Linked DNA regions of Mus musculus. The protein of the gene in region 1 interacts with the protein of each later gene in a pairwise test. Links are inferred from orthologs where the notes say so. Each region holds a gene or a part of one and is shown on either strand. Other genes may lie near its edges.

Evidence for each region. The genes of interacting proteins can lie anywhere in the genome.
Region 2: the proteins of Usp54 (region 1) and Atxn1l interact in binary tests that used the Homo sapiens proteins (3 or more experiments, as listed by UniProt). The link is inferred for Mus musculus from reciprocal best matches to the Homo sapiens genes USP54 and ATXN1L.

The regions. Positions count from the first base shown.
Region 1 is NC_000080.6:20,560,880-20,568,513, reverse strand, and holds part of Usp54 (inactive ubiquitin carboxyl-terminal hydrolase 54), read left to right. Parts: intron 1-2,451; coding exon 2,452-2,571; intron 2,572-3,450; coding exon 3,451-3,646; intron 3,647-3,674; exon of another isoform or gene 3,675-3,733; intron 3,734-6,271; coding exon 6,272-7,634.
Region 2 is NC_000074.6:109,729,368-109,737,001, reverse strand, and holds part of Atxn1l (ataxin-1-like), read left to right. Parts: intron 1-1,476; 5' UTR 1,477-1,542; intron 1,543-1,638; 5' UTR 1,639-1,697; intron 1,698-3,223; exon of another isoform or gene 3,224-3,259; 5' UTR 3,260-3,373; coding exon 3,374-5,437; 3' UTR 5,438-7,634. UniProt on the Homo sapiens protein: Chromatin-binding factor that repress Notch signaling in the absence of Notch intracellular domain by acting as a CBF1 corepressor. Binds to the HEY promoter and might assist, along with NCOR2, RBPJ-mediated repression.

The DNA of each region.
Region 1 (7,634 bases):
TCAACCAAGCAAACAGACAAAACCAAAAAGAAAAGGGCTTTAAAATTTCAATTCCTCTTAGCTGTTTCTATATTCAGTAATCGATTTTTCATTTTGAACTCAAGTCTTAATAGTTTGATGTTCCAGTTTTATATTGTTCCGTGTTTGTATGTTTGTATGTGTACAGGTGCACATGTATGTTTGAGTGCATGTGGAAACCAGAGGGCATCCTTAGATGTTGTATACCTTTTTTTCTTCATTTCCTGGGACATGTTCTTTATTCTAAGTGAGTGGCCAGTCTGGTTGGCTAGGGAACGTCAGGGCACATGTATCCCTGCTACCCCAGTGCTGGGTACAAGTGGACACGCCTACCTGCCTTTATTCAGTGTACTTGGGAATGAAACTCAGGCCCTCATGCTTGCAAGACAAATGCTTCATCACTCCAGCTTCCTCCTCATCCATTTTACCTCCTCCCCCCCTTTTTTTTTTGGAGACCAGATTTCATCACTCTTGAGCCTTGGCTGACCCAGAGCTCGCTTTGTAGATCAGGTTGTCCTCACATGTATGGTGAGATGACAGGCATGCGCCACTATTCCTTAGTTTAAAGTTTATATTTCTACTGAAAGAGGGATCTTGTCATCTTTGACCTTGTCCTTTCCTTTCTCTCTTAGTGACACCATGCATTAGAGTTGAACAGGAATCCTGATCATTGTGTTTCATTATCAGTTTTTGATAAGCTCTGGTATAGCCTCATCAAAGAGAGTACAGCCTGGAGTGCAGAGATTCTAGATGATTAAGATTTAAATATGCTATACTACTCAGTAACTATAATTTGCCTAGATCTTTGTAAAGTTGAGAACTTTTACATGCCTGGGCCTCAGAAGTGCTGGGATTATATGTGTATACCTCCATGCCTAGCCCTTCTTTTCTTTCAAGCTACCACCTCTAATTCTAGATGTTTAGACTCAGTTGATTACAATCATAATGAAAGAACTTTGGGTTCAGGGCTGGGGGAAATCAGAGATGTAGAGATGGGATAGAAATTGACTACCAAGGTTTTCAGAACCAACCTACTTTCCACTGTCTTTGCTTTCTAAAAGCTAACTGCTGTAGAAATTGAATTTGTTATGGTTCTGACAGAGCCTTTCTTACCATTGACGTCTGTAGGTGAATGAGGATAAAGCAAGGGTGTTGTGATGAAGAAAAATAACTCAGGCAGTGGTGGCGCACGCCTTTAATCCCAGCACCTGGGAGGCAGAGGCAGGCGGATTTCTGAGTTCGAGGCCAGACTGGTCTACAGAGTGAGTTCCAGGACAGCCAGGGCTACACAGAGAAACCCTGTCTCTAAAATCCAAAAACAAAAACAAACAAACAAAAAACCCCCAAACCTTAGACTTTTTATCCCAGTCATTTTATTTCTTTTCTGTTGTTTTGAGATTTTGAGATACAATCTCATTATGTAGCCATGAAGTATCTGGCTTCTACCTTGCTGTATAGCTCAGGGATCCTCCTCCTTCCACCTCCAGAGTAATGGGGATAACAGGCATGTGCCGTCATACCTGGCTTGACATTTCAATCTTGCAGCCCCTGTGACCATGTGAAAGCTCAATGTCAATTCCATTTGTAAGTGAAGTAACTTTATAACTTCCTACCAGCTTATGTTAGAGATGACTAGAAGGTGAGGCTCTCTGATGGTCCTTCACAAAGTGTCTTTACTGTACATCTTAGTCCATTCATCTGTCACTGTTCCTGGACTCCTCTTTTGTATCTCCTTTGACCCATGTGCACTTTGGGAGTTGGGGGGAATACTCTATGTTGTTATATGAGAAGTGGATCATCATCCTTTTAGAGATGGATACTTTTGGTGAGTGAGGCATGATCAAGGTAAAAACTTTTCATTGCTAAAGAAAGGCCAGTCCATGTAACAACAAATGAAGTTCAATGCTATGGTAGATTTATTGAAGTAGAAACTGTAGACCACCTCAAGCCCAAGAAGTGTACTGACAGCAGCGTGGTGAAGAGGGAATTGAAGCTATATTAGAAGTGGCAAGGGTGATGTTCCACAGAATCGTAAGCCATGCTTACAGCATGTAAGCAGTAAGTCTGGGGTAGCTGACATTTGACAAGGTATGTCCTGGTATTTTGTGGTGGCAGTTCAGTTCTAGGCACGAGAGTTCTGTTGCTACTATGGACAACACTTTGTTCTTTCCTTGAAAGGAGGTATTAGAGCTGGGATAGTAGTATGGCAGTCATGGTATTCCCACCCCCACCTTTTCCTGGCCTTGGTTAGATTTCAGTTAAGGCAAAAATGGATTCCTTAGTTGTTCTAAAGCCTTCTTAATAGCAATGGGCAGGTAGATAAAAAGTAGACCAGAGGCTTAACAACAAGGATCTGTGTCCCAAAGAGAAGAAGCAGTACAGAGGAGAAGTTGGAATTAACTATAATAAAAATGAAAGTGCTGGCCCTTTCAGGGAGGAGTGACGGCTTTGAAAGGTCCTTGCAAGAGGCAAATTCAATATTTGAAGAGTCGCTGCATCTGGAACAAAAGGGAGACTGTGCTGCAGCTCTGGCTCTGTGTAACGAAGCTATCTGTAAGTAACTCAACTGCTACTGGCTATGGCGTTTCCCGACTAACTCCACAATAGGAACTAGTGTTGTCATGCAGATGGCCATAGGGACAGTTTTTAATGTCTCTTGTGTTCCCGGGGAGGCCAATTAGCTATCTTTCCCCTTCAGATTTCAAAATGTACCTTGTGGTGCCACTGTGGTCTGTGGACATTTACTGGAACAACCTCAACAGGAAACCACAGATGAATTCTAACCCAAATAGTTAGACTTCAGATATGAGGTTAGCCTACTCTTTCTCTAGTCCCTGACTAATGAGTAGGCCAACTGAAGAAACTGGCTCTGACTCCCTAGGTAGTAACTTTTCATTGTAATACTCTATTCTTTTTGTTCTTCTCCTGCCTTTCTGGTATGCAGTACCATACTGTAACAGCAAGGGGTTCAGGCTAAGAATTGGTACCTGACTCTTAAATATGACTCCATGAAGCTGTGCTCTGTAAAGACGGGTGCAGGTTTGGACCTTATTTTTTTGTCATTGGCCATCAGAAAGGGGGAACTGGGAGCAGAGTGTGGAGACCGGAGTCAAACAGGTCAGTGAGAAGACGAGAGTGGCAACCTCACGTGCTAGTTTATCTTCCTGCTCTTTAAGTTTTGTTTGATTTTCTTTAGTGTTTTGTTTGTTTAAGTTTTAATTAATGTGTTTGGTCTCCTGGCTTTCATGAATGTTTCCTGAGCCAGAGCTGGTTCTGCGCTCTTGACAGCGCATGCACAGTCCATGCCTTGCATTCCTGCTGCTACATATTTTGTTTTACCGCCTATCTTTGCTTAGTTTTAGTTTAGTTTTTGTTCTTTTATTTTTGTTTGTATTTTGTGTTGTTTCTGCTATATTTTCTTTTGCATTTTAGCTAAACTAAGACTTACCCTGCATGATGCCAGCTCTAGCACGCACAGCAGAGCCCTAGTCGATAAGAAGTTGCAAATCAGTATTCGAAAAGCACGAAGCCTTCAGGATCGCATGCAGCAACAAGCATCATCGCAGCAGCCGGTGCAGCCCTCAGCCTCTCTCCCATCACAGGGGGGCGCCCTCCCTCAGCCGACAAGGTAGTGCTTGAGAACCACATTAGCTTACGGATAGCAGGGGAGGCAGTGTCCATGGGTACGCCATAGCACGAACTCTTCTCTTCTTCACTACCAGGGAAAAGAGAAAAACCTTATATGACTAAGGTTCTCTTCTCTAAGGTCAGACACACAAAAGCTCATTTCACAGATGGTCCTTTCATTAATAATTCCTAGAAAGATGCAAATAAGTACAAAATAACAAGCTATCCAAATTTCCTGGATTTGTGTAGCAATATGATTATTATAGTTGTATTTATTATGTTCTTAAACATGGAATCTGATTGTACCCTTCATGTTGTTGTAGTAACTGTTTAATTTGGGATTTCAATATTTACCATCCTCACAGAGAAAATAACCAGTTTTTCTTACTTTGATTAAACCGTAGGGAAGAGACACAAAGATTTTCTTTGTTTGCTTCTCTAAGGTCAGGACAAGGAGAAAGTCCCAAGAGGTACTGGGATAGTTCCCACATTTTAGGGGTATAAATATAACTATAATAAAAGTAGATAACTTTTTCTCTCTGCGTGTGTGTGTGTGTGTGTGTGTGTGTGTGTTTTCCTGGGAATAAAATCCAGGAACTTGTATATACTATACTACTAGGCAAGCGTTCTACTAGTAAGCTACACGTTCTCTGCCTCGTTTGTTGGTCTTTTAACTATTAGCTTCATTATGCTTGTTAAAATTTTTGAACATTTGCCTGGGTTCAGGTCAGAGGCAAGCATTTTCTGTTTTATTTATTACCTGATGAGATAGTAGCTGCTATCGAGCATACGTTCTAAATAAGGAAGCTTGTAGAGAGGATAGTTAGTTAGCTAATAAGTGGTAGAAGTATAGAATTCAGATACAAATCCGTTTTACTGTCAATGTTGCATCCCTTCCCCCCCCCCCCCTTTTCTAGACTAACTAGGCTCTGCAATGCCTTGAACTCCTGATATTTCTTTTTGCCTCTGGAGTGCTAGTATTACAGGCCTGTTAAACACTACTCAGGTTTATTCAGTTCCGTGGATTGAACCCAAGGCATCCTGCATGTTGGGCCAGCACTCTACCAATTGAACTACATCACTAGGCCAAGTTTTGATTAAATTACCACAATCATGTTACAAGAGTGACTGGATGACTAAAGCTACAAACATTTGGGGTATACAGATTCATATTATCTAAAATGTCTTGAGACTAAAAGTAAGTCTCTATCTATCTGTCCCTGTCTATCTTTTATCCATCAGTCTCTGCCTTTCTTTGTCTCTCTGTCTTTGCTTCTCTCTGTCTCTGTCTTTCTGTCTCTCCCCCCTTCCCTTCCTTCCTTCCACTTCTTCCCCTCTGTCTTTTTCTCTTTATTTTTTGAGATATGGTTGCTTAGCTGGCCTGGGACTTGGTAGGTAGACTGTATAGGCCTCAGAACTCACTACAGTCTTCCTGCCCTTGGTTCCTAAATGCCAGGATTAGAGGTTTGCACTGCCGTACCCAGCTCAGATTTAATTTTTTTTTCTTCTTTCAGATTTTGGAACACTCATATAGACGGGTTGAATACCCTTAGCCCTAAAATCTGAAGCCTGAGATGCTTCAGGGTTCAAACTTATTCCATTATTGTGCCCATGCCTAAAACAGGTTGTGTTTCGAAGCACTCCAATTATGGATTTTCAGTTTCTTAGTTCTTTTTTTTTTTTTTTTGGTTTTTCGAGACAAGGTTTCTCTGTGTAGCCCTGGTTGTCCTGGAACTCACTCTTTAGACCAGGCTGGCCTGGAACTTAGAAATCTGCCTGCCTCTGCCTCCATAGTGCTGGGATTAAAGGCGTGTGCCACCACAACCGGCTGTTTCTTATTCTTATCTGAAAAGGAATTGAAAAGGTTGAAGTTTCCTCTCAGGATATATTTTTTTTTTTGTCATAAATATAAAACAGTGAGAATTATGAGAATTATATTCCCCCTCCTCACTGTTAAGAGAACCCTGTTCTGCCACTGTGATGAGACATTTGAGTGAAGCATGCAGTGATAGTTGATGTCTGTTTACCCAGGAGTCCAAATCACCTTGTGTTCTGTAGTCTTCTTCATTTTGTTGACTGAGCTACCCCATCGGACCCTAGGGTAGCACTTCTCTCTTTGTACAGCATCCAGGACTTTTGTTGTATAGTGTGAGTGGCTTTTAGACTTTGCCTTCTGTGGAAGAAGCAATTTTTATCTTTTGTTTGTTCTTTGAGACAGGGTTTCTCTGTAGCACTGGCTATCCTAGAACTCACTCTGTAGACCAGGCTGGCCTTGAACTCAGAGATCCACCTGCCTCTGTCTCCTGAGTAAATGAGTGTGCCACCACTACCTGGCAATTGTTATCTTTTTAAATTTGCAAGTAGAATGTGATTGGAATGGGACTTTGTGAGTAGTAAAGAATATTAGCAAACCCTGGACTTCATAACACATAGACAAATTGGATGGTACTCTCTTTTCTTTTGTGAACCTGTAATCTATTGGCTTTGTTTGTGTTTGTCTTTTTTATTCTGTTCATCATATCTGTGAATAGCTAGAAGTGGAATTGAATGAGTAGGGTTTTTTGGGGGGGGGGGAATTTATTGTTAGTCAAGGCACGGTGTGGCTGATTCTCTCCATTTGTTTCAGTGAACAGCCTATCACGCTCCAAGTATTGTTAAACCAGGAGGCACAGCTGGAACCTTGCAAGGATACAGAGCTTGGGGCCACTTCCTCTTTCTTCCACTCACCTGCTTCCTGCCCTGAGTTACACTCATCACTCATCCCAGAGTCACCTGTTTCATCTGTTTCACAGCACAGTCCCCCTGGGACATCTTCCTTGAAGCTTCTGACGTCTTTTGAGGTGGACAGCGTCAATCGCTCTGCATTCCACAGGCAGGGTTTACCTAAAGCAACAGGTAGAACTGAGATGAACTCTCAACATGAATGCCTGCCATTAGATGCCCTTGAAGATAGGCTCCAAGGCCACAGGGAGGACAACAGCTGTTGCAGCAAATTCCCACCACGAGAAGGAAGAGACATAGCTCAAGATCAGCTGTTTGAAGGAAAAAAGAATCCTGCTGATATATCCATGGGGATGCCTTGGTCATATTCAACAGGAGAAGCCACTTCTGAGAGAGTTATATATAGCCTAAATAGTCCTTCAAGTTCATCAGCTCAGCCTAGTATTCCCCCTTACAGTTCCTGCCACCCCATCACGTCTGCTGCTTCTTCACCTGTGCTTCATGCTGCTGACCCCATGCAGAAACTTAACCAACACGTTCAAGCCCAAAGTCTCCAGACTTCATTGACTTCAAAAGTGGTCAGAAGCAGTGAGGAGCCCTATAGGCTAGAGTTCCCCAGTACAAAAGGACTTGTCCGCTCATTGGCAGAGCAATTCCAGAAGATGCAGAATACTTCCACGAGAGATGTTATAGGTTCCCAGGATAGAAGTTTGCCAAATGGTGTCAGGAAGAGCTCTTCTCCTTCTGACTTTATGCCTCCATTATCCCAGGGTCCAGGAAGAGAGCACTGTCGCTGGGTAAAACAACCCCGTTCCCCCGATGGCAGGGAAAGACCGCCCTGCTGGGAAGACCCTGCAGCTCATCCTCCTCTTTCCATGGGCTCGGGGCTTCCTGATGGTGAAACCTCGAGGACAGCACAGCCCAGGCTGGCTGAGCCAGATATGTACCAAGGAAAGCTACCCCAAGTGACAGATATTAGGTCCAAGGAGCTGGGTAGTAGTGTCAATTTGGGGACTTCTTTGCCTTTGGATTCTTGGGTAAATGTCACAAGGCTCTGTGATTCTCAGGTTAAACCCAGTGCCCCTGGGCCCGGAGACAAGTCCTCCTCCCATGATTCCCACCCACGTGCAACCTGCCTAGAAAGAAGTCCTATCCTTTTGCATCCACACTGGGACCAAGACACAGAGCAGGAGACCTCTGAACTGGAGTCTCTCTACCAAGCCAGCCTTCAGGCCTCTTCTCACACTGCCTATTCTGATTGGAGATCA
Region 2 (7,634 bases), on another chromosome or scaffold:
CCCTACACCCACACCCGGTTTCAGATTTTGAAGTGTTTTGCCTTGTGGGAACCTGGTGGGCAGGCTGAGCTTTCTTTTTGCCTCTTTCCGTCCTTTCATTATTTTGTGTTTGCTAACTCCTCGGTGACCCATAGACGGATTTTCCTTAGCTTTTTTTTTTTTTTTAGCTACAGAGGGCAAGCATCATTTTGGGGGATTAAGAAAATGAAAGAAAGCTGAGTGCTTTCAATTAAACGTTTGATGAAGAATGAGTGCGTGACTTGTACCCACTTGGTGATTTATTTGTGGCATTAGGAATCTGTTTTTCCACATTTCCATCTTTCGTGTACCCTTGAACCATGCCTATCTTAAGTAAACGTTGCCTTCAGTTGGATCGAGCTTGCAATATTCTGACTTTGACAGAACAGGTTCCTCGGTACTAGTCAATACTGCTAATCCAGTTGTTAGGACTTCGTTGGCCCCGGTTTTGGTTTTGGTTGTTTTCTTTTGAGAGGGTCTTATGGAGCTCAGGCTGACTTCTGACTTGCTAAATAATCGAATGTAGTTGGTGAGTACCTTGAACTCACGATCCTCTTCTTTCTACCTCAAAGGTAGTAAGATTACAAAGTGTCCACTCCCATTTCCAATCTGTGAGGTGCTAGAGATGTAACCTCGGGCTGGATGCATGCTAGGCAGGCACTTTACCAACTGAGCTGCATCCGGAGCCTTGAAAGGCCATGTTCTTTAATTATTGATGTTTCTGGCAAGTGTGGATTCAGATATTGGTAGCTTAGTAATAGTTTTGTTCCCCTTTGTTAGCTTCATAGAATCAAAATGGCGTTTTCATTTTCTTTCACATTTCATTCAGTACTTAGTGTAAAGTCACGTATAAAATTGTGTGTGTGCGCGCGCACATACACACACACAGGAGCCCTTTTACTTTTACTCAGAAAATCTGTTAATATAGCTTTCACTTTGAGTAACTCCCCCTTGACCTCTTTCTCTGCCCCAGAAACATAAATAATTGTTCCTTTTCCTCTAGTGACAGCTTTCTTATTTGAATAATCTCTACATCTGTGTGTTCATGGGCCACTAATAAAGCAGAAACTCCCAGCTTCTCATTGCTCACATGCAGGCAGTATGAAGTCTCTCATCTTTATTTGTGCATTTAAGCAAAATTTGGACTGGAAATGAGCTTGCTCATTGGGGAGTGGGGTAGAGAATGAAGAATGAAGGATGGTAAAGAAACCACTGAAATCAACACATAGAAATTTCTTTCCAGGGATGTCTTACAAAAATGAAAGCATAAAGATTTTTTTCATTCTTGTTTTTTTTGTTTTTTGTTGTTGTTTTGGTCTTGTGTGTGACGGCCAGAGGCCAGCTTTTAGGAGTCCCTGCAGCTTAGGTCCCAGGAAGGGAACAGGTCTGGGCAGCAAGTGCATTTACCTACTGAGCCATCTCATTAGCCCTGGATTGTTTTTTTTTTTTTTCCTTCAGTTTCCTGGGCACTCGGGTATACGTGCTGTTACCACTGGGTTGAGAATGAAGCAAGAACTTAGGGAGGTCAGTGGTTTTTGGTGGCTTTGGAATTGCCTTTCAGGATGGCCCGGGGAAGGTGAGAGCTCTGCCTCCAGCTGACATCAGCCTTGTGTCTTCTAGGCTCCCAAACCAGAGGGGAGGACACGTACTGCAGCTGCTCAGCCCCACCAGACGCGCAGGTAATAGAGGCACTGTGGAGGCCTTGTTTCAGGAAAAAACAAAACAAAAAACCGTGGCACGTGACAGTGGAAAAACAGAATTCAGCCTGATTGGAAAAATTATTGCCAAAGTTCATATGCATTGAAGTGTTCATACAAAAAAGATGCTTTCTGATTTTTTTTAACCACCACCACCAAAAAAAAAAAAAAAAAAAAAACCAACACCCCAGGTTCTCATGTAGCCCAGGCTGGCCTCTATCTAATTCATTGTCTAACTAAGGGTGACCTCAAATTTCTAAACTCTTCTCTCAAGTGCCAGGACTATGTGCATGCACTATCATTGGGGTTCTAAAAAGATGCTTTTTGACAGTGGATAAAAGTGATTACAGAGCTGGGCAGTGGTGGCACACGCCTTTGATCCCAGCACTTGGGAGGCAAAGGCAGGCAGATTTCTGAGTTTGAGGCCAGCCAGGGCTACACAGAGAAACCCTGTCTCGAAACAAACAAACAAACAAACAAACAAACAAACAAAAAAAGTGATTATAAAAGCTGGGTGTGTTAGCACATGCCATTGATCCCAGCACTTGGGAGGCAGAGGCAGGAGGATGTCTACATTTGAAGCCAGCCTGGTTTCTAGAGTGACAGTTCCAGGACGGCCAGGGCTACACAGAAAAACCCTGTCTGAAAAAAAACAAACAAAAAACAAAAAAAGAAAAGGAAAAAAGGAGAGGTATAGAAAGTGACACTAAGGAAGGGAGAGAAGTAAACGTCCAAGTATGGAGACAGGGAATAGAATTGTGTGACTTAATACTCAGAGCAGAGCCACACTGGACAGGGAGGGAGGCACTGGCAGAAGAAACAAGAACAAAGAAGGCAAATGGAAGGTGATCAGTAAGAAGAAAGAAGTCTTTTAGACTAGAGGTCAGAGAGGGTGGAGGAGAAGCAAGCTCTAGAGCAAACTACCACAGTCACTCTTCTCACGGGGTCAAAGCTGGAATGTCAAGTTTCCTGGAACAACAACAAAAACACTCCAATTTATAATATGCTTAGGGAACAAGGTTTACAAACCTCAGCACTTAGTAACATGAATTCAGCCAGTCTTCGGTTGGATGGAGCAGGTGAGGTCATAACCCAAATTAAGCTGGGGAAAGGAAGCACGAATGAGATCATGCATTCAGGGAAAGAAGATGGCATGCTAGACTTTGATAGCAGAAGGAGACATTTAGGAAAGGGTCTGCAGCAAAGACTCATGCTCCCAGCTATGCTTCAGGGAGGAGACTGAGAAGAGGTAAGGGCCTCAGGAAAAGCATGACTAACCCAGCAGGTGGCCAGGAAGAGATGCTTCAGCCCTGGGCTCACTTAGGTTTCTTGGCTGTGCATCCTTGTAGCTCTTCCTGGTTTTCCTGCCTCTTGTCTTCCTGTGGTGGGCTGCTGGGTGAACAGGCAGCCTCGTCCTCTCTCCTCTCGCCCCTCAGTTGTGTGCTGCTCTCCTTAGGTCTTTGCTCCTGGGTGTAAGTCTTCATACTTTGTTTGACTTGATTCCCTAGGTTACTCTTCTCTGCCTCTGGTTTATTCCCTAGCAGATGTGGGCACCACAACCAGCAGCAGAGCGGGGTGCAGGGGAACCACAGAGAAGTCACTTCTGATGCCCGAAGGAGCGCGTAAACTCCATCCAGGCTCCGGGAACACAAAGCAATATGAAACCTGTTCATGAGCGGAGTCAGGAATGCCTTCCACCAAAGAAACGAGACCTCCCTGTGACCAGCGAGGATATGGGGAGAACTACCAGCTGCTCCACAAACCACACACCCTCCAGTGACGCTTCTGAATGGTCCCGAGGGGTTGTGGTGGCTGGGCAGAGCCAGACGGGAGCCAGAGTCAGCCTCGGGGGTGATGGAACTGAGGCCATCACTGGCCTGACAGTAGATCAGTATGGCATGCTGTACAAGGTGGCTGTGCCACCTGCCACCTTCTCACCAACTGGCCTGCCATCTGTTGTGAACATGAGCCCCTTACCCCCCACATTTAATGTAGCGTCTTCACTGATTCAACATCCGGGAATCCACTATCCCCCAGTCCACTATGCTCAGCTCCCATCCACCTCACTGCAGTTTATTGGGTCTCCATACAGCCTTCCTTATGCTGTGCCACCTAATTTCCTACCCAGTCCTCTCCTCTCTCCTTCTGCCAACCTTGCCACCACTCACCTTCCACACTTTGTGCCATATGCCTCTCTCCTCGCAGAAGAAGCTACTCCCCCTCCACAGGCCGCATCCCCAGCTCAGTCATTTAACAAGTCCTCATCTGCCACCTCCCCGCCCGGCCAGTTGCCACATCACTCGAATACTCAACCACTGGATCTTGCTCCAGGCCGGATGCCCATTTATTATCAAATGTCTAGGCTACCTGCTGGATATACCTTGCATGAAACTTCAACAGCAGGTGCCAGCCCCATTCTTACTCCTCAGGAGGGCCAGTCTGCTCTGGAAGCAGCTGCTGCCAATGGACAGAGACAACGAGAGCGAAATGTAAGACGCGAAAGTGAAGCCCTTGACTCCGCCAGCAGCAAGGGTGAAAGCCAAGGACTGGTGCCGGTGGTGGAATGCATGGCGGATGGACAGTTGTTTTCAGGTTCTCAGACTCCGAGAGTGGAGGTGGCGGCGCCAGCACATCGAGGGACCCCAGACACCGACCTAGAGGTCCAGCGGGTAGTTGGCGCTTTAGCTTCTCAGGACTATCGTGTGGTGGCAGCTCAGAGGAAAGATGAGCCCAGCCCTCTTAACCTATCCCATCATAACCTTGACCATCAGGGTGAGGGACGAGGGTCTGCCAGGAATCCTACAGAACTGGTGGAGAAAAGTCAGGCCCGTGTGTTCTACCCGCAGTCCCATCAGGAACCAGTAAAACACAGACCTTTACCCAAAGCAATGGTTGTAGCCAATGGCAACCTGGTGCCCACTGGAACTGACCCTAGCCTGCTGCCTGTGGGCTCAGAGATCCTGGTGGCATCAAGTCTGGACCTGCAGGCCAGAGCCACCTTCCCAGACAAGGAGCCAACGCCACCTCCCGTTACCTCTTCCCACCTGCCCTCCCATTTCATGAAAGGCGCCATCATTCAGCTGGCTACAGGGGAGCTGAAGCGGGTAGAGGACCTCCAGACCCAGGATTTTGTGCGAAGTGCGGAAGTGAGTGGGGGGCTGAAAATTGACTCTAGCACAGTCGTGGACATTCAGGAGAGCCAGTGGCCTGGATTTGTTATGCTGCATTTCGTGGTTGGTGAACAGCAGAGCAAAGTGAGCATTGAGGTGCCCCCTGAGCACCCTTTTTTTGTATATGGCCAGGGTTGGTCCTCCTGCAGCCCTGGGCGGACTGCACAACTCTTCTCTCTGCCCTGCCATCGGCTACAGGTGGGAGATGTCTGCATCTCTATCAGTTTACAGAGCTTGAACAGTAACTCAGTATCTCAGGCCAGCTGTGCTCCCCCAGGGCAGCTGGGTACACCCCGAGAAAGGCCTGAGAGGACAGTCTTGGGGCCCAGAGACCTATGTGACAGCGAGGGGAAGAACCAGCCTTCAGGAGAGGGTTCCCGGGTGGGAGAACCCTCCCAGCCTGAGCCTGGTGCTCAGGCCTGCTGGCCAGCCCCAAGCTTCCAAAGATTCAGCATGCAAGGGGAGGAGGCACGGGCTGCGATGCTCCGTCCCTCTTTCATTCCACAGGAGGTAAAGCTGTCCATCGAAGGGCGTTCCAATGCAGGAAAATGAACCTCTTTCCCAACCCAGGACTGGGGCTTTCTCCCCAGAGGTGAGCCTCTGTGAGCATCGAGAGGATTTGCACATGCCAAGCAGAGGGTGGCTCTCTTGGCAGTGAGATTTGGGGGAAACAGACATTAAGACAGCCTCCCAAAGCAGGGTGTGTTGCTCGTGACCCCATGGCACCCTCTCAGGACACCTTTAGAGGGTGCTGAGATGGGGACTTGCAGGCTTGGAGCAAGAAAGGGTAGGAGTGCACATAGGATAAGACACATTCCAAAATCAGGGCCTCCCTGTTTTTTCCTACTCATCCCTGGCTCCTACAAGGGAAAGTGCAGGCTTTGGGAGCAGGTGGCAGAGGGAGGAAGCAAAGAAAGAGCCAAATATGATGATCACAGCTTATAGTAGCAGTAAAACTGTTTTCTTTCTTTTTTCCTGTCTCCCTCCCGTCCTTTGTGGTGGGAGGGCAGGAGGCCCAATGGTTGAAAATAAGAGGGTTCCCGCCCAGAACTCTTCTTGTGAGAGATGTGCACTTTAAAGGGTGATTTTGTTACAGATGTTTATGGTGGGGTTGGGGGTTGGGGAGCACCATGATCTACGGGACTGTGCTTGGTCCTTTGCTTCTGCCCGTTCCCATCTCACCTCACCATTCCGCTATAAGGCTTTTTAGCATTTTAGGGCCAGGAGAGAGAGAGAGAGAGAGAAGCCCCTTCGGGTTTGAAAATGAAGGACTGCCTTGCCAGGAACCCAGTCGGGACTGTGGAGAAAAGATTTGACTGATAGATGTTGGGACTTAGGCAAAGCTTTTGAAAGGCCTCTAACCTAAACTCCCACCCAGCCTGTCAGGCCCGCTTTGATATTCATTCAGTCTGTAGTAGTAACTTCAGAAAGACCTGGAGGACCTTTCCCCTAGGCACCTACACTCCTCCATTGTCTGTCTATGTTGTGCCTTAGTGCCTGCACTGCCCCTACCCTTCTGCTGCCTGACCTCTGCATGGTGTCTTGACCTGGGCCTCATGTGTAGCTGCACTGCCTTTGTCCACTAAGACCTCTAGTTTTTGGTGTAAAAGGGTCCCTGGTTTCCCTATCAGCTATAATTTTTATATTTAGAAACTCAAAATCATGTCCTCTTCCACCGGCAGCAATATAGTGGAGAAACCAGAAAGAAACTGAGCCCTAGGCTGGGCATTCCCACTGCAGTGGACCTACTCGGCTTCCTCCCACTGCAATCCATTGCCTCTCAGCATTCCGGCCTAAGTTGCGCCCTCCCAGTATCAGCTCTGAAAGTCTAGGAATAGTCTTTGTAACATCTTAGCAGATGTGTCCTTGTATGCTGGTGGATTCTTCTAGAAAGTATTTTCTATCTTGGTTGTATTTGCTGCCATCTGTCTTATTCCCACATTTCCCTACAGCCCATAGTAGTGTCAGCGTGGACTGTAGGGCCCCATTGGGTATTAGGATTTAGGCTCCCCCACCCCCACCAACTTTAAAGTGGTTGAGTAATTTTTTTGTGAAGGTTTTTTGGGATGGGGTGGGGAGGGGTTCTTTAGACTCTTGAAGGCAACTCAGGGTATTGTCCACCCAGCTATGTAGTTAGACTTCTCCCAGGGAATGAGTGTGGCATTTCCTTCATAGATAGACCTGGCCTGTCACCAGGAGTCCTACACTTCTGAAGTATGAGCAAAGCTTAAGGTGAGTCTTGTGATATCTCTTTCACTTCCTCCCCAGCTGCCAAATGGGGATAAATAATCTTACCTACCTCCTGGGGGGGGGGGAGTTCTGAGAACGAAGTCATTCTTAGTGTTCAGGTGCTAAAGGTTGTTCTCTTTGGGAACAGAGTGACAAGAAACTGGCTAGTTTGCTATAAATCCTACATTCTGTTTGATACCTTGAGAGCAGATACCTGGTCAGCGAGCTTTTAGGGGGGGGCGTTCAAAGGAAGCTGTTTAGCCTGACCGCAAGTACTGAAGTCTCTGCTTTCTGTCAGAATCAACCACCGACCTTGTGCTGCATTGGAGATCACATCCTTTCCCTGTGTTGCCCCCATTTCTCTGCTGCTTCTCTGGCTTGTTTCCTACAGCGGGGGCCTGTGGGATTGAGTCTTGAGGAATTCTCTCAGATGAGAGCCATAGGAGATGGCCTCATCTCCTGACTGTTTCATGAACAACTCATTCCTAGGTGTTATTTGCATGTGTGGGTTTCTCACAAG